Oryzias latipes: one gene and its partner. The protein of the gene in region 1 interacts with the protein of each later gene in a pairwise test. Links are inferred from orthologs where the notes say so. Each region holds a gene or a part of one and is shown in the gene's direction. Other genes may lie near its edges.

Region 1 (15,500 bases):
ATTTCTGAAAGTACCCTGACTGAGATGTAAGGTAAAAAAAAAAGTAAAATTTGTGTCTTTTAGTGCGGGTACCAATACAATTCTGTCTTTTTTTTTTTTTTTTGCTGTTGATGGCAATACTATTTTTATCATTATTGTTTATTTAACCAGTATTTAACCAGGAAGTCCCAGTGAGATCTCCAGATCTCTTTTTCAAGCGACTCCTGAGGCACAACCCAAGACATTTAACAAAATTAAAACAGTAAAAAAGATTAAAAAACAACATATGAATGATTTAATTTCCAGGTCCTTCAGAACCAAGACAAAGTCTTGAGATGTGATAGTTCACTTCAATTCAGTTTTATTTATATAGCCCAATATCACAACAATAGTCTCAATGGGCTTCATACTGGTAAATTTATAATAAACATGAAATCATAAAAAACGCAAAGTCATAGAATTCAATAGATAATCGCTAAACTAAAGTGCTAAACAGACTAGGCTAAACTGGGCATCCTTGCCCTAAAACCCTCCTTCTCGGTAAGAAAAAACTCCTAAAAAAAAGATTGCAGAAAAAAAAGAAGAAACCTCAGGGAGGGATCCTCCGCCAGGACGGACAGGCGATGTACCAGAACTCATAGAGAAGAAATAGCTTTTCTGACTCTATCACTACATGTTTAAGCCTTGTGCTATCCTAGGCACTTTAACATTGGGAGTTGGGTCATCTAGACCCACTAGACAGTGCTCTGAACAATTTTTCTTCAATGATTTGTGATCTTCACTGGTGTCCATGGATTACATGAAATCTTTCCACCTTTATCCACCTTTGTCATGGTATAAATAACACGTCAAAGTAAGGATGGGGTCATCTAAGATAGCACAAGGGTCAAATAGTCCAGCGGATGGACTCCATCCAGATGGAACTGGGGGACGGCTGCGGCGTGAGACGAGCCAGAGGTCGGGTCCACAGCCAAGTACACAGTCAGGTATAGGAACAGGTACAGGAATAGAAACAGGTACAGGGACAGGTACAGGAACAGGAACATGTACAGGAGAGGGGTACAGGTACAGGAACAGGTACAGGTACACGGTCAGGTGTAGGAGCACAGACGAGCTCAATTGTCCTTTACAGAAAAATCCAGTCCTTAGATGCCTGACGCTGAAAAGTAATTTTTTCCCTCTCTGTCCTAACACAAGGGACAGACAGTGACTAAACATCCAGGGAGCAGAGAGCGTAAGGTCCGTTGGGCCTTTGCTGAAGACCCACACTCATGAAAGAAGCCGCCCAATGAGGCCCTTATTTATAAATCTGTACCAGTATGTGAGCTGACCAATGCAGGCCACAATGACAAATTTCTCTACTGTAGTAGCATCATTTGGTAGTGTAGCAACCATGACATTCAGCAGGAAGTCCATTTATTTCTCCTAGTGTGAAACTGACAAAGATGTGACAGAAGGCCAAGGACAGTAGAACGGCTGGACCTTTCTGTCTGCAGATAATAATCCATTCCTGGAATTATGTTTTCCTAGATAGACCCATGGGGCTTCCAGAGCTTCTCCTGGCAAAGACGAGCCCCCCCCTTAAATAGAATGCATGTTCACCACATGACCAACTGCAGATATGACAAATTTAATTAAAATAAAAATGTAAAATAAAGACAGAGCAGTTCTAAACAGCTTTTTGCAGGTGATATGGGGGTGAACAATACTTCTTTGATGAATCTGTTACTGCTTAAACATAGATATTTTGGTACCGAAAAAAAAAAGACAATAATCAATTTTAATTTAGAAATGCTGCAATTGCAGTGGTAACAAACATTGTGTGATAAAACAGCAGCAGGTGGACGCTGGGTCTAATCCTTCACAGGCGTTTCAGGACGTAGTGAGATTAACCTGAGGTGGTCTGATTCAGCTCATTTCAGAAGAGCAAGTCTTAACTCATTACTGGAAGGTTACGACTAATAAAGGGCCAACCATCTGCCCGGACTCCACCTAACATTAACATTTAAAGCCAAATCAGCTTTTTCAAGTTATTTTTCATCAAAAATTATGTGAATTTGCTTATATTAATCCCAATTTTTAATTTTGCATCTGGAGCGTTAGAGCCCATGTGGTTCATTTGATTTGATTTGATGTATCGAAAAACCAAAAACCATATGGCTGCTTTGCAGTGTCCTAAAATGTTGATCACAAGCGATGTGTCGGAGTAATGTTGTGAGGGATAATGTCCTTTGTCTGCATCAGTCCGGGCTCATCATATTGATCGTGTGCAAAGCCTCAAACACACAGAGACGGCAGGACTATCTGCTGTGATCTTCATAGTTTAAACCCAGTAGATTAGGGACTCTGGGTTTCATTTAATACACAACTTTAATAATAATAATAATAATAATCTAATAAAATGAACAGTTTTGCCTTTATTGATTTTTAATGCATTTCAGCCTGATCCCGAAGCCGCTTGTTGATGAACTGAAGGGATTGTTCTGTAATCAAAGCAGTATAATAATAATAACACAGTTTTATTCTTTTATTTCTATAACTGTGCATACGTGTGATGCCGCGTGCGATAGCCGTGGTCAAAACCCTCCTTCCCACAATTCATAAACCGAAAAAGGAACTGATGCCACAAATTAATTAACAAATGTGGCTTTTGTGGTGGAAATAGAAATAAATCCAAACAAATGTTGCTTATACAGTTGAGATCGTGTGCACACTCTTTCAAAAAATCTGTTAAAAGTGAAGCTTTGGCACAACTTGTTACCGTTATTCACCCCATTTTGACGTATATTAAAGGTTTGTGCAAATGAACTTCTCTGTCAAGTTTCAAGATTCAAGATTCAAGATTTGGTTTATTGTCATTTCACGCATAGTTTTGGAGTGAAATACACAGGTGAGACGAGATGATGTTTCTCACTAGCATGACAGTGCAAAGAAGCAAGTGATAAAATAGCAATCAAAGAATAAAAATAGCAATAAAATAAGATGAAGAAAATAAAAGCAAAATATTATGTATATAATAATGTAATATGTCATCATATTTTTTGTTTTACTATGCTCTACTTGGTGTATTTACATGAAAATCTTGTGATTTTAGAGTGTGAATTGGCCTATTCATGGCCTTTGGCCCATTGGCAAGAATGTATAAATAAAATGAAAAGCAAAAAACAATCATGTAATCATGATCAAATTCCTGCTTTTAAATTCACAAACATTTGTTTATTTCAGTTGTTTTCGCCGGTTTTCGCCTCCTTCTCTTCCTGGTTCTCTGGGCCCAACCACCATCAGGGTCTTGGACGGCTCTGGCGTTTCTTCGTGGTCCTCGGTCATCCCAAGCCTGCATGGCGTCTCCGGCTCTGAAAGACTGTTTCACTAATAATTCTATCAACTATTTTGGATAAAATGAAAATGTATGTGTTCACAGAAAGGAAACAACAGATGAGAAAAAGCCACATACTGGTCATGGGATAATCTTAACCTAATAAGGTGTAAAAGAAGATGAACAAACAATGATTAATATGATTTGAATTGGGGTTTTTACTTAATTTGAAAACATCTGAGGATTTTTGGATGGCTTGACAGCTTCATCTCTGACATTTTCAAACACTTTACTGTTAAATGTTTGGTTGTTTCTATTAAGTTGTGGTGTTTGAAACACAACAGGCACAGGTTGAACATAAATATCACCAAATCTGGCAGGAAAAAAGGACAAACTTCGTTTTGCCGAAAGGGAACCGACTCACATTTCATCTTTTGTGTTTCAGATTGATGACCTCTGAGATGGATGATGTTCTGTAGTGTTGTGTGGCATTGTCTTATCCCGGCCTGAGCACTTATCATCTCAGGCTTATGTATGGAGCAGGGGGTAGGGGTTGTGGTGAGGAAGGCCCAGGAGGGTGTGATGGTGGCGGGGGGAGGTTGCAGCACCTCCTGATAAAGCGTGATGGGCTAATGACTATGGAGGCAGATGGAAAGAGCCACCTCCCATGACGACGCTGCCAAAGCCTCCGTCCTACAGCAAGGGACGGGTACAGCCAGAGACGAGGAGAAATTCAGTTTGAAATTGAAACTGCATCACCGTTTTGGAGAGCTTTCCGGTTTAAGGCAACCTGTGATGTTGAAGTTTTCTTAGCTGCACTGTGACTTGCAGAGCAGGTGGTCTATATGTTGGTTGAGCTTGGTTTAGGATTAAGCTTCAGGACATTGTTTGGAGGGAACAGGGCTGTGAATACAAAGGGATTAGCGGTTGCTTCACTAACTGGGAGTTTTGCATGTGTGTTCTGAAGTGGGGGGAGTCGTAATCTGAAACTGATGGATTGGATTATCACCAATTTAAGCATTTGATGTGATCAGGCAAAAAGAGGCTAACTCAAACATCCTGATGAAATAAAAAACAGGCGGATCAGGTGAGCAGCAGCTCATTTATCTTACAAAAATAAATAAAGAAATAACAAGGAGGTGTAAGTCACTATTTCAAGAAAAGCAAAGGTTTTTCCAGCGTTCTTGTTCCCACGTCCCCCTGCTCATGCACAGCAGTTAAAAAGGTCTTACTAAAATCATCTCAATGCCTTGAACCATGTGCCACCATTAGCAACAAACAAAGGGGGCTCTGACAAATGATCATTTTAATGTCCCTCTTTGACTTTAATGAATTTATATGCTATCTGACCTAATAGAGGCTGCAGCGGAGGGGATGGCGTGAGGCCACACCAAATGAAAAGCTTTGATTAGCGTGGAATGAGCCGGGGAAAAAAATGCCATTCATCTTGGTTAGGACCCTCCTGAGCTCCTTTATGGCTCCCAGTTACAAGGACAGTGGAGCTGGGGGGGTGCTTGTCCCATTAGCGGGCCAGCCCCAAATGGTCTGCTGAGTGGACAGCGGCCTGGCGTTGACCGAGCGTCTGCCTGCTCTGCGGTTCAAGACTGTGAATGCCTCAGCCCAGCTTGACTCCTGAATAACCTTCTGAGGTACCAGGAGCTTCACCCCTGCATGACCCTGCAATCTGAACAGGGCTGTGTGTGGGGAGGGGACTCCGGAGGGATGGGGGTACCCAGACTGAGACTAGCACTGACAACAAACAGATGGGGGGGGGGGGGGGGGTCCCCTCAAAGGAGCAAAGCAAGTAATTTAAAAAGGAAAACAACTAGTTTTTCCTGTTTGGGTTTATTCTTCTTATTGTTGCAGACATGAAAACACAAATTAAAAAGTACACTGTGAGAACTAGTAATAAAAATGATTACATGCAAATGTAACGTTCAGCAACTAATGAGTATAAGGAGGAAAATGGCTAAAAGTGGAGATTCCCGCCCTACACCAGCAGCAATCCTTCTCTGGGAAAACATTGCAACACGGTGTAGCTGCAGGGGAGATGTTTCGCCATGATTGCGCCGGAGCTTGATATGGACCACTGCTGTCATTGGGAGTAGAAGCCCTGTTCCGCCGCCCCCTCCCTCGCGGGGCCCCCGCGCGCTCAGCCGCCCGCCTCGCGGAGTTCAGTCGGGCTGGGAGAGGAATGCGCTGGGATGCGGAGCTGCGCCGTCCGTAGGAAATCCGCGCAAAAACCCCGCACACTATGGACAGCAGTGATCCATACTTGCACCTGAGTGAGTACGCTTTCCACGCATGTGCGCGGCGCCGCGCGGCAGCCGTTTCAGCCGGCAAAGCCACGGCGTTTTCCGAAGACTTCACTTTCCATGGCGTCTGTACTCTCTGCAAGCTGTGCGCGAAAAAGTGCTGGCGGACTTTACCCGGCAACTCCTGTCCGCAGAAACGGTTTGGGGTCTCCGGTAAACGGAGGTTTTCCTCAAAGCCTACGAGCAAACCTTCGTCCAACCTAGGCGATCGTGATTTTGGCGATCCGGCAAGGTCAGAGGTTGGCACTTTAATTGCGCTTATGTAATTTATGGTGCTTGTCGCGCGTCTCTTGCTAAACAGTTTGAGACAGAAGCAGAATTTATTGGTCTAGGATGGTCCGAGGAAGGAGTGCGCAGAAACGCGCGGAGGAATGGCGGCTGATAAACAAACTTAAAGCCTCCGAGGAACGGAGACGCGCGTCAGACGCGCCCCGATCCGGGCCGCTCTGCGCCTCTCAGCTCCATAACCGGGACACCCCTCACGCCGAACCCTCCTCATCCCTAACTTAATCCTCCAGCCTTAAAAGCAGCTGCTGCTTTAGTTTGGTTTAATGTTTTTAGTGACTTTAAAAAGCAACAACATGTGTTGTGAACCCACTTCGACTTTCTGCGTAAATAGTTGTTGTTTGAATCTCAATTTAAGTCTAATGCTCCTTTTGTCTTGCTGAGTCATGCATCACTTGTCATGTGATTCCTCCCTCCTCCCTTAATGACACATTTATTGCTGCTCTGCTGTAAAAATACACCACAAAATGAGGCTTTTGTGTGAGAAATTAAAGATATTAGAATCTAACAGGGACGCACATTATGGATAGATGTTCCAGAACATTTCCACCCCAAAAGAAAGCTTCTTTCGGAATCATCTCGATGGGAAAGTCTTCTGTGCAACAGAGCCGTAACCTCAGGGCTTCATGGTCTTTCTCATCTGTTAGTGATCAGCAGTGGCATCCCAGGATTTCAGCTATGTTCAACATATATGACATAAAGATAAACATCAGTTATGGTCACTAGCTATTTCCTAGAAATGGAATATTCTTAAATCAATCAACTTTTTTTTTTAAAACGCTTTTGTCATGAAAACCATTAAAAAATAAACAATATGGGTCTTTGCATGTTGGCTATATATCTTTTAACCTTTACTTATCCAGATTACGAACAATATTCTTAATTTCAAATGTGGCCTGGCAAAACGGCAAGACCTTTTATAGTATTTTGTAAAAGCAGCCACAGCAAAAATAGCTTTTAAAAAATTATTTTATGACATTTTCCAACATGTTTTGACCCTAAATGTAGTTTTTATGTTTCTAGACTTCATTTCGAAGCGCTAAGTTAAAACCCAGCTCATAAGAAAATTGATCTCAAGGCCGTTTCACACAGCCACTACGTACATTTTGCGCATATTGCATGGATGAAATTTGGTAATGCGTGAATATTCGTTTGAAAGAGTTAGAAAGGTTGTGGTCTTTACGTGGAAATTTACAAATGTATTACGATGACACGATGATGAACGTAGGAAACACTTATGAATCACGTATATCACGCATGGATCACAAAATGCCAAAAGTTTATACGTGGAAGATACACAAAATGTACGTAGAGGCTTCAGTCTCGTTGGCTTTTTTTTGGCGTCTGGCTTTCACTTATGATTTATTTGACGTCCCGGCTCCAACACAAGTTTATGGAAACAGCTATAGGTTAAGCCTGTGCCTTAAATCTGAAGCAGCCAGACTTTGTAATGTGCTTGAAGCTTAGGCATGTGGAGTCAAGAAAGTATTTGCTGATTGCATATGGATTGTTTCAAGATCCTCCTCAGCCTTTCCCCGCAGACGCCTTACATTTCGGGAGGCTTCACGCAGCCCTGCCTGGGGCTGAGGTGTAGAATCAGCATTTTTTCTTTCTCAGCACTTCAGCATTTTATATTTTCTGTCAGTGGAAGTGATTCTAGACAAGCCCGAGCGCCAATGTGCAACTTTTGCTGGTGAGAACTGATTTCAGGGAAGTCCTGAAAGAGAGAAAAAAGGTCGAAGGGAGGGAAACAAACAGAAAAGAAAGGCAGAGAGGGGTAACCCCAGTTAACCTGAACTCTCATCACCGGGCCGGGGTCAGAGTTCATCTGTGTGTGAGGCAGAGACGGAGCCACACTGCATCGCATCCACGCAGGCCTCCCAAATGCATATCTGACTGTATGAACATGTAACAAGAAAAATGCGGTGGTGACGACTGCTGCGTTAAAAGCTTTTTCCCAGTTACAGTTTCAGGAGCTTGCAGAATTAGATGAACCTCCCAGGTATGGAGGGTGTGGCTCTCTGTATTCGCTGAAACACCCGAGCCTGAGCCTGGGACCTTAGATTCCGTCTCCAAAACAGAACATGGGTTTTACTACTTTGTGTGTGTTTGTAAGTCAGCGTGAAACCCTGTTAAGCAGCTGCTGATTGTGAGACTAGGAACAAGAAAAAAACCAGGAGCTTAAAGAGTCAATTCTTTGGGCTAATTGCTTGCAATTAGTCATTAGTCATGAAGGTCAAAGCCTTGTTTTAATTCCAGCTTTAATCAAGTGGAGAACCTTGGAAGGCCCAAGGGCTGCATCCGGATTTGATCATGAGATGGATTAAGCAATTTCTTTTCTGTTATTGCAGTGACAGCAAGCAAACAGGCATGGATGCACGTGTTTTTCTTTGGCAGAAGTCGCATGGCGGTCATCAGAAATCACACAGCAGACGGCTGATAGAGAGCATGATGCAGTTTTCCCTTTTTATCTTCACCTGATACAATAAAACTGTTCAAACAAAGAGATGAATAATCTGCTTTGAAGACAAAATCCAATGCGATTTTTGTATTTTTAACATGTTTTTATTGCATTTTTCTGATGATGGAGGACATACAGTATATTAGCTTCAATTTGCATTTCTGAGTATTTCTGTGTTGAAATCGAACAGACAAAAACGGTTTGAATAAGGTCCTATTTGTGACATAGAAAACTATCTTCACTCCATTCTGATGCATTAATTTGCAGAAAGATTCCCGAACGTCTCTGTTTTCCTCTTCCAAGCTGGAATCTGGATCTAAACTGTATGACTGGATAATTACAATGATGCTCGCCATTTTTGTTGCACCGCTATTTTTCGGTTTGGGCTGTGAGGTAAGCTAGAAGGAGAGGGTGTAACAAAAAGAATGATGGGAAATGGGGGCGGACTTACTCTGCGCAAACAGTCCCACCCACAAAAATTTTTATGAATGAAGGAACTCCTGCCGCTCTGCAGAAACTATGTCCTAGAAAATGACAAGATTTCCTGTTATTTTGGATAAAAAAGTCGTAATCAGAATGAAAAGATCGCTGGGAACGCTTTGTAAATAGATAAAAAAATGATCTGAGTGGGACTTTAATATAAAAAAAACATTTAAACGAAGGTAAATAAATGCATAAACAGTACAGCGCCAGACAGCATTTCACAGTACCGCACATCAACATTTTGGGGCTATGAAGTCTGACTCTTTTATTCATCAAACAAACTAGAAAAAAAAAACTGTCCTTTTTTTTTTGCATTTGAAAAAAAACAAAATGTTTTCAGATCAATTAGGAACAATCTTACTCAGTGGTTGTAAGCAGAAAAACTAGTTTTGTTATTATAATCAACAGTTTAAAGCAAACGGCTGAAGACAAATGTTAAAATGAATGAAATATGCATTTAACCATGCGTTAATGGATCTGTATGTTCATACAGTTGGTTTTGACCGTCGACATAGGCAGGAACCGTAGTTCAGTCTAAAGCTACGTTCACACTGCCTTTGGCAACACGTGCTCAAGCAACCAATGAAAATGTTCGTGCGTTAAAGTTGACGTTCAAAACTCTCGTGTTCACACATAGCTCTGTACGTTTTTAAGACCATTTTCAGGCTTTAAGTAGCGGCATAACAATGAATCGATTCATCCAACCAGATCGATTGTCTGACTAAACCCAAATGGTCAAACTGTTTGAAGTTTTGGCTAAAGATGTCCTGGATCCAAGGCAAGGCAAGGCAAGGCAAGGCAAGTTTATTTGTATAGCACAATTCATACACAAAGTAATTCAAGGTGCTTCACAAAACAGAAAAATGCATTAAAATCACAATACATCATAGAAATAATCAACATAAAATTTACTTTAAAAGAAAAGAAAAAAAAAATTGAAAACTGATTTAAAAAGAAAGGAAGGAAAGGAAAGAAAAGTGCAGATAGGACCTTTCAGTCATATACACGGCTAAACAGAAATGTTTTAAGTCTAGATTTGAACATGAACACAGAAGACGCCTGTCTTACGCCTTCAGGGAGGCTGTTCCAGATTTTAGCTGCAGAATATTGAAACGCTGATTCCCCTTGTTTAGTTCTGACTCTGGGAATCAACAGGAGGCCGGCCCCTCAGGTCCTCAGAGTACGAGATGGTTCATATGGCACCAACATGTCAGAGATGTACTTTGGTGCTCGGCCATGGAGAGACTTGTACACAAGCAGAGCTGCTTTGAAGTCTATTCTTTGAGGTACAGGGAGCCAGTGCAGAGACCTGAGCACAGGACTAATGTGATCATACTTCCTGGTTCTGGTCAGGACTCGAGCAGCAGCATTCTGGATGTACTGAAGCTGTTTTACAGCTCGTTTGGAGGTTTCAGGTCGTTTCAGGTCAGTCAATCGGATTGAATCAGTTTGTCCAATATCGACTAAGAATCGTATTGGAAACCACAGATTGTGATATAAATCAAATTATTATTCAAATAAATCTTTACATCCCTGGCTTTAAGTACAAGACACATGGCCATTGAAAGTAAAGGTCAACCTTTGACCAATCAGGGACTCAGATTGGGTTGGGACATACGGATGGCATCCTTTTCAAAGCATGGAAGTGCCAACTGTTTGAAAATTGATCATGAAGAGGATATGAATTATTCCCGTTTCTATGACACCAAGTCTTTCATATATCAGAATAGAGTTGTGAAAGAAAAGCCTGGAGCAAGATTCACCAGAACCCCCTTTCTTGCTTGTTCCATGTGAACATCATTGGCGAAACATGCTACCAAGACCACTTGTCTAATGCTTTCTTGAACGTGCCTCACATGCCCAGTGTGCACGTAGCTGAAGTCAGACTTTTTCTATAGAAGTCCTGTAAATCACGCTTTTAACTAAAGAGATAAAAGGTTTGTATTTTTAAAAATTTCAGCTTTTTGTTTATAATAACTGATGATAAATCCTTATTTTAGTTGCTCTGTCAAATTTTTGCTGTTTTTAAAGCATTCCACTCAAACAGAACCCTTTGTCTAAAAATAGTCTTACAGATAAATGGTCTAATTTAGACAATTTCCCCCTCCCTTTGGGATGTGAAGTTTTTAGCCCACGTTAGAGTAATCAGCAGAGCAGGTAACCTGCAGGTCCCATGTACGTACAGTGAAGGTCTCCAGGTTGGATTTTATAAATCCACTGACCAGCTGCAGGAAAGCTCAATTAAAGGCTTCCCTTTACATGAAAAGTACAGCTGCAGCTGTGCACACAGAGTTCCACCTGTTACAGACTCACAAATGAATCCTTAAAAGGAAAAGGATCGGTAATCAAATCCACGTGTTTAACATTCATTTGATGTTGTCCTCATCAATCCAGGCGGAATTGCAATGTGTTATTTAGTTTGACTTTAAAAGATAATCTAAAAATGTTTGAAAGATTAGCCTTTTTTAATTAAACCAATTATGAGAATTTAGACATTCATTAAAAGACCACGGTGGTGCAGCGTGACTGAACCAAAGTTCAGCCTCCAAGCTCTTTTACAAAATCTTTTTTAGGGTTTTATGTGACGTCTTTACAGAATGAAATCATTCGGACCCTCACCAACATCAAGTACAGCGCTCTTCGTTAGCAGTTCCCAGTTTGGAGGAACACGTATGGCCACCTTTTTAAGCCTGTACTTTTTTAGGTGCTCAGACTGGACACACTTGGTTCGCTTAAAGTGAACCAGAGTTCGATTCCTCCGATAATCCGGAACAAATCTTCAGTCTGAATGCACCCAAGAGGAGCCTGATCTGGGACCAGAAACCGCTCTCTGACCCATCTTTCGAGGCGGTCTTGATACGATTCCAATCGGACTGAACTTCTGAGTTTCCTTAGTCTGATAAGTCTGTGCTCAGAGCAGAGCAACTAAACCCAAATGGCCACAGTAGCCGGACATTATGGGATGTGAACACAGTATGAATTTCTCCTTTGGGAGATTAACAAAGTTTCTATCTATCTATCTATTTGTCAAAAAAATGCCTACTAAAAAAGGAAGATAGCAGATTTTTTTTTAGGTCAAATCCATGTGTTCTTGTATGGTTTATGAAAATACATGATTCAGTGTTACTTTACTATACACTCTAATCATAAATAGAGTTTGCTGGCATCTACATTTATTGACAAAACATCCTGATTTAAAGTCAGTGTCAGTGGAAGATATCTATTCTACTCTGGGAATTGAACCTTTCTACACAACACTCTTTGTTAGTTGTCATAAATAATTTAATATATTGTCTTCCTCTATAGCAGATGAAATAGTATAGCTAAAAAAAAGAGCTTTTACATTCCTGAAATATATTTTTTCTGTTCTGTATCAGAACAGACGTGCGCTCACAAACTGACTGACTTTTGACTTTCTGACATTTTACATCAATTTTTTTCCAGACTGTATTTAAAAAAAGATCTTCAGCTGCTAACCTGGAAATGTCTTTGGATTTGTAACATACACCACCTCTGCCGATGTTTAAAAGCGCAGCATTAAGACAGTTTAAATACCCTTGAGAACTGGATTCCAATTAACCATCTTAGTGTCTGAAATATATCAGAGCTCTGTTTTAACAGAATGATGCTGATAGTCGTAAAAGATCCAGTTTATTGTGATGGCTGTATGAATTAAAATGAATATTTTATTACACAAAAATATCTGATATTTCATCTCATTTTATCACTATTGCAATGTTTTCTCCTATAGTGTAACTTTTAAGACCCTTCAGTTTTAGTTTAAATTTATTATCATGCTTTAAAAAATCCACAAATTAATCAACAAAATATTAACGTGGTTCCAAAGGACTCTCAATTATTCATTCTTTTTTGTTTTCAGCTTTACCAGACAGCTGTGCATATTTATTTTCACCAAGCTGCCAGATTTGGCTGCTAGGATGAAGTCAAAGGGCAGAAGAGGAAGGTTTCCTCCTGAGATGACAGCACACTGATTAGATTATTACAGGATCAGATTAAACATTTAAGATTCTACCCTAAATTTAGGCCTGCCAATTATCTTTCTCCCTGTCCATGACGCATGTGTGATTGCTAATTAGAGCTCCTAAGGTTAACTTCACATGTTTTATGTGGGCCATGACACACAATCATGGCACAGCATCCTTTTAGGAAGAATCACATGATTTAATTTTTTTCCCCTGAGAGATTTGGCAACCCTTGTGCTATCCTAGGCACTTTACCATTGGGAGTTGGGTCATCTAGACCCACTAGACAGTGCGCTGAAGCTTTTTTCTTCAATGATTTGTGATCTTCACTGGTGTCCATGGATTACTAAAAATCTTTCCCCCTTTGTCCACCTTTGTCATGGTAGGGAGAACACGTCAATGTAAGGGTGGGGTCATGTAAGATAGCACAATGGTTTTAAACATGACAGGGAAGCTTTGTAGTTCCTTATTCCTCAGTTACCTGCCAAGGTCCTGTCACCGAGAGGATGCAGCTACTGGTAGTGTGTTTAGATCCATAAACAAAGGTGATCCAGAGTTAGGCAGGAGTTCTGCAAAAGAACCCAGAGTCAATGCGTTCGTCACAACTGCTCTTACAGGTGGAAACAGGCTTTTTTGCAGGCAAAACATGGGCAAAACTGTAAAAGGCTTATATCATACAAAATCAACTTTTTGAGCTCTTAAGTGTTTTATCTGCACTGCCAGCACGACTAGAGTGTGGCGTAAGGACGCTGTTTGACAGCATCACCTGGACGTCATGTGTGCAACTTCCGCTGTTGTCACACCTGTGCTCCCCTTAACCCTTTAACACCACAGCTGTCGCCGTCGACAGCTAAATAAGACACAGTCTTTGTCAAACTGTAAATCTTTGACTGTTTATGCTATTAATGTGAATCATATGTTTCTCACATGGAGAAAAACAGGTCAACCCCTCAAACAGGTGTATGTGACTAAAAGTCGCTTGCTGGAATCCATGCCGCAGAAAGCTTCTTCAGCTTTCAGTGTTGTGTTTTAATGCATTGTGTAAATATTTGATGGACTGACAGGAGTTTTTTAGAAGATTCAGCTGCAACTAAATGTTTTTTTTTGTCATGGTAAATAAATAACATGATCACATGGTAAAAAAAAGATTTGATTTTCTTCTATCCCAACATAAGATTATTATTATTTTTTGAAATCCATTTCTGAAGACCTCTAACAATGATCAATGACTGCTGTTTCTATGCTCCTCTCAGGATTTGTCAGGTATTGTTCCCCCGCTGCCTTTAGGGTATATTTTTGGTCTGTGTGTGCATCTGGGTTTTCACTCTGCTGTTTGCTTTCTTGGCCACCCCACAACATTTACAAGAAGACAATTCCTGACATCCTGGAATGCCATTGAACACAAACAGTCATGCTGAACACAAGAAATTGAACATGCGTGGGTCACATGCTGTCATGTTTACATATACATATACATATCTGTGCCTTGTCCTTCTCTATCTGTTTAACTCTGAACACTTGTCCTTTCCTGTTATCTCTCTGTCTGCTGTCTGTCATGCTTCATCCTTCTCCCAGTGCTCACGCTGATGACTTTCTGTCTTCCTGGGGAGGAGTGGGAGGTGTCGATGCGAGCTCTCCTGAGCACATGCTGTTGTTTTGCGTGCTGTGGCTTAACTGTCTGCAAATGCTGGTGATTTTATCTGTCCGACAACAGTCGGCGCAGCCCTTTTTTCATGTGGACTGTTGTTTAGAGGAGCACGTTACACTCATAGGTTAGATGTAGAATGCAGAGCAATTTACTGAAAACTCAAAAAACACCTTTTGCAAAACACCTGTTTGTTTATTGATGATGGAGGAGCATCTTTCTGTGATTTCCCCTCTAAAAGCACAACTGGGCTTATGAGGCCTTTGTGTTTCATCATGTTTTGAGCAAAAACGATGGTTGAGCTTAAAGCTTTCATATTGAGAAGACAGTATTGTGCGCTTCACTTAGATACTAGCTCTTCTACTAGATGTTTGGTCTGCAGAATCTCAAATATCTGCTTCATTTATCAAGCGTGAAATCTCACTTTGTTGCAAATGATTCCAGTAAATTACAATCTGTCATTGAAATCAGGGTTTCTACTTACTTGCAAGTGAATCTTGGTGTGGTTCAGCACAATGGCCAATGCAAGTCCAGTGGACCAAAGAGCAGAAGTGAAAAACTAGGTTCAAACCACCCTTCACAATGTACGTTCAAGCACCCACTTCCAATGAAACATCTTTGTAAATGCTTGTTTTGGGCTTCTGCTTTAAAAACTCTCATGTTCACACGTAGCAACACAAATTTCTACGACCATTTTCGGGACCTATACAAAGCAATTGAATGTGGCCAGGTAAACCAGGTCAAACGTTGACCAATTGGAAACTCAGATTTGGTAGCGGTAGCTGAGAAAACAGTTTGAAATGTGAAAATAACAAACTCAGAGCGTAGCTGGTTTTTCTGGTGAATCCAGGCATGGCGATGAGCCTGACAATGTCTGCGTTTGATGTCAAATTAAGATAAACCAAGGCCACTCCCCTGACATGATGGTAATCTATTTCCGTTATTGCAAGGATGCTAGCAGAGAATGGAACCCATTTTGCATTAGGCCTCCCCAACTGTTGGTGGCAGGCAAGCGCTAGTAAACAGTACAAAA
Region 2 (15,282 bases), on another chromosome or scaffold:
TCGCTATTTAAAGAAGCCCAAAGACAACAAAACACTGTCCAGGTACTAGGCCTGCACAATATACCGCAAATTTATCGTTATCGCGACATCAAGCTGTGCAATATGCATACCGCAAAAGACGGCGAAAATCGCAATTAATGGTTACCTTGACCCTTGTGCTATCCTAGGCACTTTAACATTGGGAGTTGGGTCATCTAGACCCACTAGACAGTGCTCTGAACCTTTTTTCTTCAATGATTTGTGATCTTTACTGGTGTCCATGGATTACATGAAATCTTTCCACCTTTATCCACCTTTGTCATGGTAGGGAGAACACGTCAAAGTAAGGGTGGGGTCATCTAAGATAGCACAAGGGTTAAATGTGCTAAAACAAACTCATGGCAGCTTGAAATATTGAATAAATGAAATAAATCCCTTTATGCATTTAACCAATCGGAAGGACCCGTTTACGTTGTTGATCAATCAAATGAGCCCTTTTATGTTTGATGTTTGCCTCCTATGTCGACAGGGGTCATTTGGAGTATAATTTTTATACTGTTGCATTGAAATGGAAACTATGTTTTTGGTTGGTTTGATATTTGTTTATATACCGCAAATTATATCGTTATCGCAATATTAATCACCAATATCGCATATCGCAAGATTTCCTCATATCGTGCAGCCCTACCAGGTACCAAAGGCTGCATTAACGACACTAAGCCTCTTTCCATCTTCTGTGTTCACTATAAGTAATTTTAACACTTATTTAGTTGTGGTTTAGGTAACATCTGTTCAGTGCATTCAATCTCTTTCGCTTGTTTGGCAGTTATCGTGGGTTCTGCAACTCCAGTTTACTGCTGGTTGGTGGAAGTGAAAGGTCTTGCTTAACTCTACTTGATATTGACAGTAGTGAGAGATACTGTCAACTTTGTTTTTTCAATTAAAATTAAATTGAGGAGTGTATGAAGTATGACTTATTTTGATGCCATTGCTATTGTAACTTGGTCTGTATACACCATTGACTATGTACAGTAAACCCTTGTTTTTCGCGGGAGTTACGTTCCAAAAAGAACCCGTGATAGGCAAAATCCGTGAAGTAGAAACCTCTATTTTTTTAACAAGTATCATCCAATTAAAAACTCTATTATACATTGAAAAGAAAGAACAAACCATTTTACAGGCTCAAGCATTTGTTTCACAAATAAAAGTACTTTAGAAAAGTTTTCTTTTCAACAAATAAATTCTGTACTGTACTGTCAAATAATAATTTGAATCATCAATGTGAACAGAATGCTTCAGATCGCGGAGATAAGCAACGCCCACCGCGACCCGAGAAGAATTGAATTAAACGGGAGAAAATTTAAAATGATAATAAAAAATTACAAAGTATAGTCGGACAAATAGTGACTCAGGTGTATATCAAAGCTCTTGAGAGTGAGCCGCTGCATCCTGACTCCGCTCTGCAGTGTTTCCTTCTTCTGAAGCCCGCGGTGCAGGTGTGTTTGTTCGGGAGCAGAACATAATGATAAACAGTTGTTGTCGCTCTGTTTTCTATGGGTTTAAGAGAAACTCCAAATTGCAGGATGATTTGCACGTACGTGTTGTAAATTTGGCACGCTGACTTACGTACGTGTACATATTAAACTGCAACGTTATTGACGCGCAGGTAGAGAAGAAGCAGAGTGACTTTTTAGCCAATCAGAATGCAGAACACAATGCACGATGCAAATCCGTGAAAAGTAAACCGTGTTATAGAGAGGGATCACTGTATAAGAATTGGACTGAGTGACTCCTCCCCCACTCATGTTCCAAATAGGAGGTAGCCGCTGGCTCCAAGAAACTAAAATCCCACAGACTTCTATGGAGAAACTCATTCTATTGGTCAGAATAACTGTTCTTCCTCTGATTTATTTTTAAACATGTTCTTGATCATTCTAATGCTTTTTCATTTAAGTTATAAACTGGCCAATCAGATGCCTCAATAAAAGTGAGCTGTCTCTCGCCAAACCTTACAAACATTTGACAGATTTTGTGTAGTTTCTTTTCAAGTGGTAGGGGTATGGAAATCCAACAAGCTCACTCCTGATTGGTGAGAGAGGTGTCCATATACAGTAAATGTTGACTCTAAACGGACTGGGACTAATCACTGCTTACTGATGACATCTGGCTCCAACATGGCGATCTTCATATTGTGAAAAAATGGTGACTGAATTTACTTTGTTTCATTTGAGCTGGAGGTAAACCATTTTCTATGGGTGACATCACACTGACTCTGTCCAGTTCTCCTTTATAGTCAATGTTCCCAACCCTGGTCCTTGGGGAACACTGTCCTGCATTTTTTTAATCCTACACTGCTCAAACACACCTGCCCTTGATAACTGCCATTATCAGGCTTCTGCGTGGTTGGATGATGAGCTGAATCAGGACAACATGGAAAACATGCAGTACAGTGTCCCCTGAGGATCAGGGTTAAGAAACACTGAAATAGGCACAGAGATGATCCATTCAGTGTATTATTGTGTTAGATGGAGCTTCAAATTATAACTTTTTTCTACTCAATTACTGTTTGGATTGTTGAGTTTAGGGGGAGTAAACTCTAGTTATTGTACCTATGCATTTCAGTTTTCATTTTCGCCATGAGATTATTTGCCCTGTGTCTACATGACTATGTCCGAATTCACTCACTACTCCCTAACCCCTAAAGGACCCCAATCCAGTACTTTAGATTTCATGGAATTCTGAGACATGCTTGTTACTTTTATTTTTTAAAGGAAATGTGACATTACCACTTTGCTGAGTAAAAACCTTATAAATAAGAACATTTTACGACGACTATTTATGAATCCACTGTGTTTTGATGATGGGAACTTGGATGAATTATAGAATTGACATTTTATTTAATTTTTTTTTCAATGGAAAATTCTTCAAACACAATACATTGTGTGCTATATTTGCCAATCTAGTCAGCATCAATGTGCACTGGTTTTTCACAGAGACTCCAGGGATGTATTTCCAGAACAGTAGATTTAGGATTGTTGGGCTCTGTCCAAATTCCTTCTCTACTCTCTAACTTTTTAAAAACTATATACTGCAGCAGTGGCGTGGATTTTAAAAGCAATTTAGACAGCATGCCCTCTACTCTTTTTTTTTTAAACACCAAATGTGATGTCACCAATTTCACAAAGTGTTTTTGCTCCTTTGGCCATATCTCTTCAGGTTTCGCATCGTAAAAACCTAATACTAGCATTTTATGTTGACTATAAATCTACTGTGTTCTGATGATGAAAATATTGATAATTTATGAAGAAAGAAGAATTCGCAAAAATTGTTTGAATGCAACGCATTCTGGTCTATATTTCCCAATCTAGTGGGCATCGATATATGCTGGTTTTTTGCAGAGACTTTTAGAAAATTTCTATCGCTCAATTTTAGAATTGTAGCTTTGGACAGCACTACAAAATGACAAATGTATTATATAGTTCACTATGTAGTGAGTAGTAAAAAAACAAACGGACTAAACTGTAGATTCTGATAAAATAGTGAATGCCCTATATAGTGCACTAAGCAGTGACGGAAATCGGACACAACTGATGTCTATGCGTGGAACGGGCAGGAAAGCAGCCAGACAGGGATGATGACCATTCCTGTTACGTTCCTCCTTTAAAGACCCACTCCAATGAAAATTGTGTTTTTGGTGTTTAACATGTTCTTATAGCATTTTTTTTTTATAATAGAGGACGTGTATAAATAATTTAAGATTAAAATTATGTTTCTGAGTATTTCTTTATTCAAATCGCGTTAGATCAGGAGCAGATGAAAACAGGATGTTTGAAAAAGCATGCACGGGCTAAAGTCTAGCTTTTTCTGCTCCGATTCTAAATCCTCCACTTGCAGACAAATTTTCATTTTCTCGTCTGAGCTGCAATCTGGCTCTAAACTGTGCGACTGGATTCTTGTGATAATGCTTGCTGGTTTTTTTGCTACGCTACTTTTAGCTTGGGCTTGTGAAGCACTTTTCGCTAGTGGGAGAGATTGTAAACAAAGGCATGCGGGGAAGTTAGCTAGGCAAACTTCTGCGCAAACCACAACCCAAAAGCAAATTTCTATTGAGCTCCTCTGCAGAAAATGTCTTAAAAACAGCTCGTTTTTTATTTTTATTTTATTTTATCTAAAAGATCACTAGGAATGATTTTGCAATAGAAATGAAAACCAAGTTGGGGAGGGACTTTAAAAGGGCCCATATCATGCTATACTTACTTACTTTTATAGTAAACAATATCCATGTATATGTATTTTATATATGTCATTATGTGTGTATGCACGCTATCAGAAAGGGTCAACTTATTTGCCTTCTCCGGCATACAAAAGAAAACATTTTTATCAGTTATTTTCCCCCCGGAAGTAAGACGACTTGATCTCTGAGGCACAGCCTTTACTTCCTTGTGGGTGCCGCCTATTTCATGACATCAACCAACCTCAGCAGCATGTCTCTGTCTTGACCACACAAACAAAGATCCAAACTTTTGCAAAGATGGATGTGCATATTGTGCGTATAAAAGCGTTTTATACAGCTAGCTCCATGGAGGAAGTGTGAGTGTGTTAACCTGGGGGCGGAGCTGGCAGTGCAGACTCTTCCTGGAAGGGGCTGTTCCCCAATTATCTACCTCAGCTCATGAGAAAGGAGGGGCTGTTGCTCAGATCACAGATTTTTAGAGGGATACTCAGAAATACGTGAACGGTCAAAATACAGCTTTGGGGTTTCTTTTTGTGAGGAATGAACAATTTTATTACACTTAAAAGCTCAAAAAGTTAATTTAGCATGAAATAGGCCCTTAAAACAGTTGGGCTGCAGGAAACCCAGATCTGCCATGTGTGGCGTGTCACCTGCTGCATCAGCATGTGGATGCAGACATGATGACAGCTTCAGAGGAAAGGTTGGTCCATCCTACTTCATGCTACCGTTTTTGTCCTTCCATCTTTTTTGTTTTCAGTTTTCTCAAAGTAAGGTATATCAAGTTCCCGTTAAAGTCCTTGTCTGACTGTGTCCTCCACAATCTTCCTTTAAACACTTATTTTTGATTCAACATATTTGTTTTTCTGGGTGTACATTTCAACGGGAAGCTTTATTTCCGAAAGTAAGTGAATGCAACGAGAAAGCGGCACGTTGCGCGCGAGCACAACGGTAGGGTCGCGCGCGCACGTGAGGTGGCAGGGGGTTGTGCTCTCTCCTGCTCTCTGACCCCAGCGGCAGCTCCGACTCACTGCACCCCGGCTCCCCCTCCGACAGACCGCGGCTGCTCTCTCTCCCCCCCTCCCGTCTGTCAGCGTAGTCTCTCGTCCTTCTCTCGGGCTCCTTCTCCTCCTTGTCTGGTTTCTTGCCACAGAAGCCAGCAGAGGTCCCGCCGGGTCGAAGGTTTCGCCCTACCCGCCCAGACTGCCGCAACATTCGGACTGCTGCTAACGAGCCCGCCCGCTGTCCTTCTGGCACCGCATGGACCAACGTTCCTCCTCCGCCGCCGCTGCCTCTGCGTAGAGTGCGACCCCGACCCGACACTGTTTCTTCGGCCACATAACAAGCAGAAAAGCCCAAACAAACAACAGAAGAAGGTACTGCAGCCTTTCCGCTTTGCTCTAAAATATCACCGGGAGGGGGGGCAGAGGAGAATAAAAGACAGGACCTGACACAAAGCCGCCACTTCACTGGCGGCTTGTCATTTACGAGGAGGAGCAGGAGGTTAGCGGCGGTGCTTTGACACCGACCACCTTTGGCTGTCTGGTGTTGTTAAAGGAGCAGAGTTCACGGCAGAACCGACCTTCCTTTATGTGTGCTGCACCGCGAGCGGCGCAAAAGTCATTACGTGTATGCACGGCATATCAGAAAGGGTCAATTTATTCGCCTTCTCCGCTTACCGGAGGGATTTCTCCCCGTGAAGTTCGCTTTGTGGTGGACACCGCCGGCTCTCGTGTGTCCACCGAGCGGACGGGACGATGTCTGTGTGCGACGCCGGCCGCCGCGGCTGGCGAAAGGCGCGAGCGATGCGAAAATGTAGAGCCGGCGCACATTTAGCTAGCTAAGCTAGAGAGCTAGCTGCTGCTGCTGCTGCTACTGTAGCCATAAGGTAGACAAGGCAGGGAGCCCTCCACCCCCACCCCATTTAAACTCACGCGCGCGCGTACTCTGAGGAGACTTTGAAGCTGCACGCGCACTAAATCAGTCCTTAGTGTTTCGGCCTACATTTGCGACATTAAGCTCATTTGTTGAGTCGCTGCAGAAATCCAGCTTTTTATGGCTTTCTTTCTGTTGGCGGAATGATTTTCCTCTAAACCTAAGTAAGTGATGCGCTTAAATAAAAAAAAATTCATTTGCAATCTTGAATTTTCTGCTGTAAAAAGAGTAATTTTAAGCCTAATGTTTGTATGAAGGTGTTCCCCTTTTGTTGCATCATTCAAAGGTTTTTTTCTTTTTTTTCTTTTCTTCCAACCTTTCTGGATCAAATGAATTGATGAGGGGGGGAGGGGGGGCATGCATCCAGGTGACCCAGAAACCAGAAATCAATGCTCTCTCTGGTGGAAATGGGGCAGTTTGGTCAAAGTTAGCAGCAGCCTTTGCCTCACCCGTTGTTGCATCCCAGGACTGTCCAGTGGGCGCTGCTGCTGCCAATTATTCTCCAGACTTTTTCAAGTGAGAGCTTTACGCCCCATGACTTTCTTTCCCCCTGGTGCCTGGATGCATCCGCAGGTTGGGTATAAAGCGTCTGGTAAACACAGCAACTATCAGGTCAGACAGGAAGGAGGCTCAGGGTAAAAGGAGACGCCGCAGCAAAGCTGGGTGAGTGATGCAAAGCAATGCTTGTCCTCAAAGGCTGGAATGCTTTTCTTTGCACATTTTGAATGGGATGGATGTCTTCTTGGGATCAGCATCTTAAACTTTCCCCTTTTGCAACACCGGTTTTATGCTGGGAAATTTCTGATCAACGTACAGTAAATTCTTGCAAAAAAATTTGCCTGCATTTAAAATTTCACACAATGTAAAGTTTTTATTTCATTTCATGGATACAATACTTTGTGTTTTATTAGACAAGTTTAATTTATTAGTTGCATTTTGTTTGGCTTAATGAAAAAAAAAAAGCGGTTGATGTGCAGTTCCATGTTGTGTCTCCAGAAAGTAATGTGTTTGTGTTTGTGTTTGTGTTTGTGGTCCAGACTGTAGCAGTGCAGTCGGTCAGTCGGTCGGTCGGTCGGTCGGTCGGTTGGTTGAGTGGCTGCTGGTGCTGCTGGCAGACATTCGTGGGCTTCTTGAGGGACTCTGAAGGATGACCATCGCACAGTTTGCTGCTCGGTGAACAAACGGCATCTCATGTCCAAACAGCTGAAGGATGGCTCATGGCAAAGTGACCATCACAGTGGACGAGTACAGCTCCAACCCGACACAAGCCTTCACGCATTACAACATCAACCAGAGCCGCTTCCAGCCTCCACACGTCCACATGTGAGTACACGCTGTCGAACACGGTCGAAACTGTTTAGCTTTTATCTAACAATGTTTGTGGGTCAGTAGTATTATTTCAGAATCATCCAAACAGCTATAGTGAAGCATAAATCCAATCTGGAGTATTTTAAGGTTTTAAGGCCATTAAGTAAAAATGATCTAAAAAGCCGTAAACTAGACTGAAAGTTCTTGTTTTAAAATTCTGCACGATGTAACTCCGGATCCGCCAAACTGAGACAGTTTTGGAATGCTTGTTTCCACTGTCGTCTGCTTAATGCTCATGCGGCTCTTTTTGGTTCTCATTGTAGTAAAACAATCAGATAAGTAGTGAGACTAGTTAAGTGTGCAGTCAATAGTGGCTGTGGTTGCTGTGACCTGTTGAATTTGTTGGAATCTCTACATTCGCTCCCTGACGCGCCACATGATTGGTGCCCTTTACTCCACAGCTTTCCTCAAAGTGAGAAATTCTGACATGCTTTATTTAAATTTCAGTCAAATTTATTGTCATCCTATTTTACTGTTTTTAATGTAGATGTTTTTGGTCAAATTGCTTTCAAGGTTCAGTGTTGTGTAGAAACAAAGTGCCTCCCTTTTTGAAGGCTCACACATTCCAGCAAAACATCAGTTTGTCTCCTATCCACAATCCTATTATTAAATAGTTTATTAAATAATTTAAACTGCCGTTTATTTAAAAAAAAACACTTAAAGTTATTTTTTATGAATAAAAACCAGACAAAAATAACCTATGGAGGATCATTCATTCGAACATCCGGAGCAGACGCTGCAAACAGTTTCCATGTGTTGCATCTATGCAGTGAAAATGAAAAAAAGGTCTAGAAAAAGAAGAGTTGAAAACACAATCTACATTTGCAGGCAAAGCCTTCTGAAATCCACATATTTGTTTTGAATACATAATGCAATTATTATTTTGGATTTTATGTTTTTTTAATATATTAAATTAATTTGTACCACTGTCAATTATTTTTATTTCATATGCTTAATTGCCCAGAGAGTGGGAGCTGATGACAGGATAGTATAAACACATTTCTCTCAATGTTTGAGTTTATATATATAGTTCATGAAAGGTTTATGAAAATGACTAACTATTGCACTTAAAGTCAGTTTTGATGTTGAACTAATGCTTCTGATGTCTACTAGTATTAACTTGTGTATTTTATGTGAAGATTTAAAAAAAAACTCTTTTCTCATTGAATTAAAATTTCAATGTTTTTAGAGAAAAGAAAAAAATACTAAGCTAATAAAAACATTCAAACTTATTGCAAATGATTAAAGTTAGTGTGTGTACACCTAACAAATACATTTTTAATTATGTTTTACATATTAACCTCATTATAAGAAATAGCCTTACTTTTCACATTAATTCTATTCAGCTAAAACTCTATTGTAGTTTAGCCAACTACGCCATTATGGTGTTCTGTCGACTAAAACCAACGGTCAAAATGACTAAAATATGACTAAACCTAAACAGCATCTAAGTCAAGAGATTTTGACTAAAACTATAGGAGAATTGTCTCTTGGAATGAAAAGTGCTGAAGCGCTGCAAAAAGATCTGGTCATCATCTTTAATGAATGCCCAGATGCAGTTAAGTTTTTCATGGCAAAATTTCTTCTGGAGATGAAGTTTGAGCATTCCAAAACTGGAGGCTGCATGCATATTCATGTGTTTACTGTAAGGGAGGTGGGGGGTTGAAGTTTTGAAGCCTGTTTAAAAGGCTTATTTATTGCAGAAATGTAAACATCTTAAGAGTCAGCCTTCACATAAACTACATCACAGATCCCTGCAGACTGCTGAGCTGAAAATCCAGCCATCCAGCATTTGTGTTGGTGTTTCTTTTATAGTGTTTACCCAAAATGCACAAGGTCTGGTGATTCTGTTCCTAATGTTTTAATTGAAACTGCATTTTATGAACAAAATTAGAACAATTACAGTGGATTAGTTTGGAAGTCCTGGGAAGGAAACAGTTTGAAGAAAATCAAATGATTGAAGGCCGATAAAGTCACATGAAGCTGTGATGCTTTTCAAAAGATTTGAAGCTATAAGGTTTCTGTATGAAAACAGGTGATAGAATTGTCTGATGGCCATCTGAAGCCTCAACAACCCTAAAGACCCACTTCAATGAAAATGGTGTTTTTAACATGTTCTTGTAGTATTTTTCTGATGATGGACAGCACATATAAAAAATTGGGATTAAAACGAAGTTTCCGAGTTTTTTTTTCTTGTTTTTTTTTTTCTGTGAATCAGGAGCAGATAAAAAAAGGAGTTTGAAAAGAGCTTGAAGTTGGGTGGTAGAAGCTACAATCGGCAGGTCACAAGTTCCCTGTTCCGTTTCATTCTGATGCATCCACTTGCAGACAAATGGATCCATGAACATGTTTGTTTTTCTTGTTCGAGCTGACATCTCGGTTGAATTCTATGTATTCATGATCCTTTTGATTTTATGTTTACTTTACAATTACCGTTACGAAGCCCATTGAGACGACTGTTGTTGTGATTTTGGGCTATACAAAAAAATTGAATTGAATTGACTCTCGCTCAAAGCTGTATGGCGGAATAGCTCCATTATTGCTCACCATTGTTGTTACACCGCTAGTGTAAGGTTGGGGGAGTGAGGAACTATAAGCCAGATGGATGACGGGAAGTGGCGGCGGGCTTACTATGCACCAACAGTCCCGTCCACAACTCGGAGGTGAATTTTCTGATAATCTCCTCCTGCTCTCCAGAAACTGTAAAATTCTAATCTTGGTAGAAAAAGATATGGAATGTAGACAAAGATCTGCTCGTAATTGAAGATCTACGTAGATTTGGCAAACTGAATGCATTCTGTACAGGAGACACGGCAAGGAGGAGATTGATTGACAGTGGTCTATAGCCAATCAGGACACAGAACACAATGCACTGTAACATTAAAAGAAAAAAGAAAAAAAATATTCTAATAAATCTGAAAAACAGGAAGACAACATTGTAGCAAAGGACCAATGTTTTAGTTTGTTCCATATTTCCTTTACCAGTACCTTTATAAGACACTGAAGCAAATGTCTGGATGAAGGTTAATTCAAACTGCCCATGTCAAATGTAAGGAAGCTCTCCTCTGTAGTAATTATGTTCAATAATTTAAGATGCACTCACTGAAATAACGAGACCAACACTCCAAGATTCTTCTATTAGAAGGCAAAAGAGCTAAGAAAAAATTCCCCTAAAGTCACTAATTTCCTGACCTTTTTCCGCTTTGTTGGTGGTAGGATTTAGAAATGAAGTTCAAGTCAAAGGGGATGTATTGAGGCCGTGGGGCCTCTCAGCAGATATGTGTTTGGATAAATACATTAGTCCATTTCCTGGTTTCCACAGAGCCTGCAGTGTTTAAGCCAGTCATTCTTTAAGTCTGAGTGGGAACCTTGCAATCACGCTATAGGCCCATCCCCCCTCCATCATGTTCAAGTGTGTTCTCTTCTAGGAAAGTAAAGACTTGTTTAGATTGGGGAGGTGGGGATCCAGCGTGCGGGTGGTTCTTTCGCCATTCACATCATTCAAACATAAAAAATGTAACTTCTGTGTTAGACACAGAAAGAGAGAGGAGGGTGCCCCCTTTTTTGAATTGGAATCCCAGCTCCAATGTTTTTAACACCCCCCCCCCCCCCCCCCGACAGAATATTGAGATTTCTCAGATGGAGTACAGGAGGGTCTTTTGTGTAGTTCAGAACATGCTGGTGGAGCGCACACATCGTCATACAATCTCTATCACACAGACACACACACACTTTCCAGCTAATGCATTGGAACGTGACCCTGAAGTCAGAGTTAGTTTTCTTCGGAGCATGGGACGTCCGTCTGTGTCCTGCCCTGTTTGTGTCTGGTTTATTTTTCCAAGCTGTCTGTATTTTTTTCCCCTGTTCAGCCTCCCTCTCCTCGTCTGTGTAATGAAATGCAACTTGATCGTATGCTTGGGGTTTGTTCAGAAATGGCTTCCTACTTAGCTTCCTACTTATTTAAATTATACAATCATATTACCAAAACAATAACCATTGGTGTAAAATAATATTTGAATGTTTGAAAGTCCTAGTACTAGACTAAAAATCCAACTTTCTCTCTGAACTGATACTTTATTTAACCCATCATGACGATCAGCACATGTATCGCTTTACTTTGCTGCTGCAGTCGAGGTCGGTGCCGGATAAGCCGGCTAAGCGTCGCACCATGTAACAAATACACAAAAAGTGATCTCAACCGAAAAAATAGCACGAATAAAGTACGAAAAACTGATTGAATATTAATTTATTTTGTATATAGTATAAGCAGAATAATGGCCTTCGAAGTGTTACAGTTTTTTTCTAACTGTATTACACGTGATACCAGCTACAAAGATTCAATTGCAGAAATACTGGATTTATTATTTTTTTGCTCAAAATCATTACACGTTCTCTTTTATGTCAGGACTGCAAGGAGGACATCTCCTATTCTGTCCACCTCTTTTGCAGCCATGTAGTGCAAACTTATAAATACTGAATAAGGCGGACCTAAAAGTTTTTAAATTTTCTCCAAAATGTACCTTGGTGAGCCTAATGTGTTGTTGTGTGACTTTGGTAAAGAGGACGCAGGAGAGGACAGCATGAAAACGATAAGGAGGGAAGTGAGGACGTGAAAGAAGACACTCCCCCGAATAGTACAATAATGTAGGTATGTGCATTTTGCAGAACAACATTGTTTTGGAAACCCTGAAAATGCAACCTGCAAAGAGACACGCTTATTAAGCACAGTTTAAACTGCAAGCTATCAGCTACACGGAGGAACATGGGAATCGAGCAACAGCGAGAGAATTCAAGATGAATGAATTCATGGTTCGCAAGTGGAGGAAGCTGGAAAACGAACTCTGACACGTCAAAAAGACGCAGCTGAGTTTCCGCGGAAACAAGGCGAGGTGGGCCGAGTTGGAAGACCGACTCAAGCGATGAATTCATGATCAGAGAACAGCTGGGAGAAGTGTCTCTATGGTCACTATTCAACTGAAGGCAGTGACGCTTGCAGAGGAATCGAAAATTGGGCAATTTTAATGAGGTCCATCTTGGTGCTTTCATTTTATGAAACTGTGCCATCTTTCCATCCTGTCAAGGACTACGGTAGTTCAGCAACTTCCATTACATTGAAAAGCTGTCCATCTTCCCCTCCTATCCAGCCCAACCACATCATCAGTATGGATGAGGTGCCGCTCACTTTTGACATCCCGGTGAGTCACAGTCGAACAGCGGATACAGTTTTACTAAGACTGGGAGGCTGCGCCGGGCAATTTACGCCACAGCTTGGGCTAACGTGTCTGCTTGCACTGTTCTTTGAGCTTTCGCAAAAGCCGGCATCATTCATAAGGAGCCACATGGCAACAACATGGATGTGACAATGACCAAAGGGAACCTGGCGTGTTTGATCGAAGCAGTTCTCACATACAGTCAATTGTTTTCACTCATGTGAGTCCACAAAAAAAAGGAATTCCACCTTCTAGGAAAAGACCCTGCCATATTTGTTATCAGGTTTTGCAAACATGTTAAACCTTGTTTGTTCATTAAACCTACTCATTGGTAGGGATGGGTTATCAATACTACTTCTCTTATCGATACTTTTCTGTGTGAAAACGAGGAGGGATAAGACAAGTAAACTACAGTGTGGCAAAAAAGTATTTAGTCAGCCACCAATTGTACAAGTACTCTCACTTAAAAAGGTGAGAGAGGCGTGTAATTTTCATCATAGGTATACATCAACTATGAGAGACAAAATGAGAAAAAACATCCAGAAAATCACATTGTCTGATTTTTAACGGACAAGTATTTGGTCACCTACAATCAAGCAAGATGCCTAAGGCGTCGGGGTTCCAGCGGTCACGCAGATGTCTTCTGTTCAGATGCTGAATCATGGAAGATGTGCTGTTGTGGTATGCCAGCTCTATTTTGCAGTAGAGACACTGCACCTTGTTCTCTTCTTTATTAAGTGTGTAATGATCCCACACTTTAGACAATTTCTGCCTTTTATTTATAGATCTATACTCCGCCATCGCGCCAACTAAATTCAAAAGGTCCGTGTGAATAAACGGTCCGTGTGACACAATCAAATCCCTGCGCCGCGCGTATAGTGCGCGTCATAGGAATTTAACGAGGCTTCGAGGCAGAGTTTTTGCCTCGAGTAATTTTTCTAATCGAGTAACTCGAGGAATCGTTTCAGCCCTATATAAGACCAATGATAATCTCCCTTCATCTGGGGCTCCCCACAAGATCTCACCTTGTGGGGTCAAAATGATCTGTAGAATGGTGAGCCAAAATCCCAGAACCACATGTGGACCCCAGTGAATGACTTGCTGAGAGCTAGGACCAAAGTAACAAAGGCTACCATCAGTAACACACTACGCCGCCAGGGACTCAAACCTTGCAGTGCCAGACGTGCCCCCCTGCTAAAGCCAGTACATGTACAGGCCCGTCTAAAGTTTGCTAGAGAGCATCTGGACGATCCAGAAGAGGATTGAATGAATGTAATCTAGTCAGATGAACCAGAATAGAACTTTAAGAAGAACTCTACTACAAATAGCCTCCTTACTTCAAACAACAACAGTGGAATAAAACTGTAGAATGATTTATTTTAGTTCATTTTACATTGTATGTTGACTAATTTGCTATCATTGAGGCACAAAATGAACTTTCAGCCTGTTAATGTTACATGATCATTGTTTTTACAGTGCTGGTAGCTGTATTTATTCCTCCCCTCCTTTTTATGAAAATTTCCTGCACTTATCTTTGATGTGTCTACATGTGTACTGCTAGCATTCACACCTGTATGAATACTCCATTTATGGGCACTCTTAGTTTTATGTATAACTGATTTATTATTATTGTTTGTCCTTTTCTTCGCTGCCTTTGTGTTTAGGCTCCTCTCAAAACAAAAATGGGTCCTATTCTGTGTTCTTTTTGTTTCTATTGGCCGTTTCACTCGTCTCTGCTTGTTGGGTGAGCTGGAAGAAATTTTGTAACAGGAGAACCTTTGATTAAGCCCTCCCTTCCCACCCCCCTGACCTGAAGCTTGTTCTTTTTGGGATGGTAGTGCTGAAGTTGATGGCGGAGCGGTTACGGCAATGGTTGACAATGTGCAGATCTTTTTATTTTGGTGATGGAGCTCTTTGAAATTTTGCTGTTTTTAGCCTCTCTGCCCTGGGAGGGCACAGTCCTACAATGAATCAATCCCTTTTGACCTGAACTGCAGGCTGTGCAGACTTCTGTTTAGTCTGAGTTTCATTGGTCTTTGAGATCCCTGTCCTTTCTTAAATGGCCTATATCATGCAAAGTCAACTTTTTGAGCTTTTTAGTGTATTATATTGTTAATTATTCACAAAAAAACACAGTTTGATCCATTCATGCATTTCTAAACATTCCTCTAAAACCTGCGTTAAGCACCAGCCCATCCCAATAGACGAAAACAAGTAGAAATCACATTGTGACGTAAATAAGTGAGGAACAGCCCCTTCCAGGTGGAGTCTGCGCTGCCAGCACCCCCCCCAGTTTAGCACACACACCCACTTTCTCTGTGGAGCAAGTGGTAATCGGCAAAATGCTTTCCTTTTATATCATCATCATCAAGACTCTTGCAGGGGGGGGGATGCCCCTTCCCGAAACGTAGAGCCGACCAAGAAAAACAAGGGCCTCCATTTTCTGCCGTTTTTTGCCAGAAGCTCAGCATCCATCATAGCAACCCCATAACGTTTAACATCTCCCGCAATGACGTCTGTCCACCGAGAACAGGGTTTGCCTTGACATCATTTTCAGCC

What was found.
Region 2: the proteins of retinoic acid receptor RXR-gamma-B (region 1) and metallophosphoesterase MPPED2 interact in binary tests that used the Homo sapiens proteins (3 or more experiments, as listed by UniProt). The two-hybrid records come from large-scale screens. The link is inferred for Oryzias latipes from reciprocal best matches to the Homo sapiens genes RXRG and MPPED2.

Annotation. Positions count from the first base shown.
Region 1 is NC_019862.2:29,483,595-29,499,094, forward strand, and holds the start of retinoic acid receptor RXR-gamma-B, read left to right. Parts: upstream 1-5,392; 5' UTR 5,393-5,549; coding exon 5,550-5,580; intron 5,581-15,500. UniProt on the Homo sapiens protein: Receptor for retinoic acid. Retinoic acid receptors bind as heterodimers to their target response elements in response to their ligands, all-trans or 9-cis retinoic acid, and regulate gene expression in various biological processes.
Region 2 is NC_019861.2:5,994,017-6,009,298, forward strand, and holds the start of metallophosphoesterase MPPED2, read left to right. Parts: upstream 1-5,194; 5' UTR 5,195-5,586; intron 5,587-6,203; exon of another isoform or gene 6,204-6,309; intron 6,310-6,504; exon of another isoform or gene 6,505-6,808; intron 6,809-7,182; 5' UTR 7,183-7,355; coding exon 7,356-7,468; intron 7,469-15,282. UniProt on the Homo sapiens protein: Displays low metallophosphoesterase activity (in vitro). May play a role in the development of the nervous system.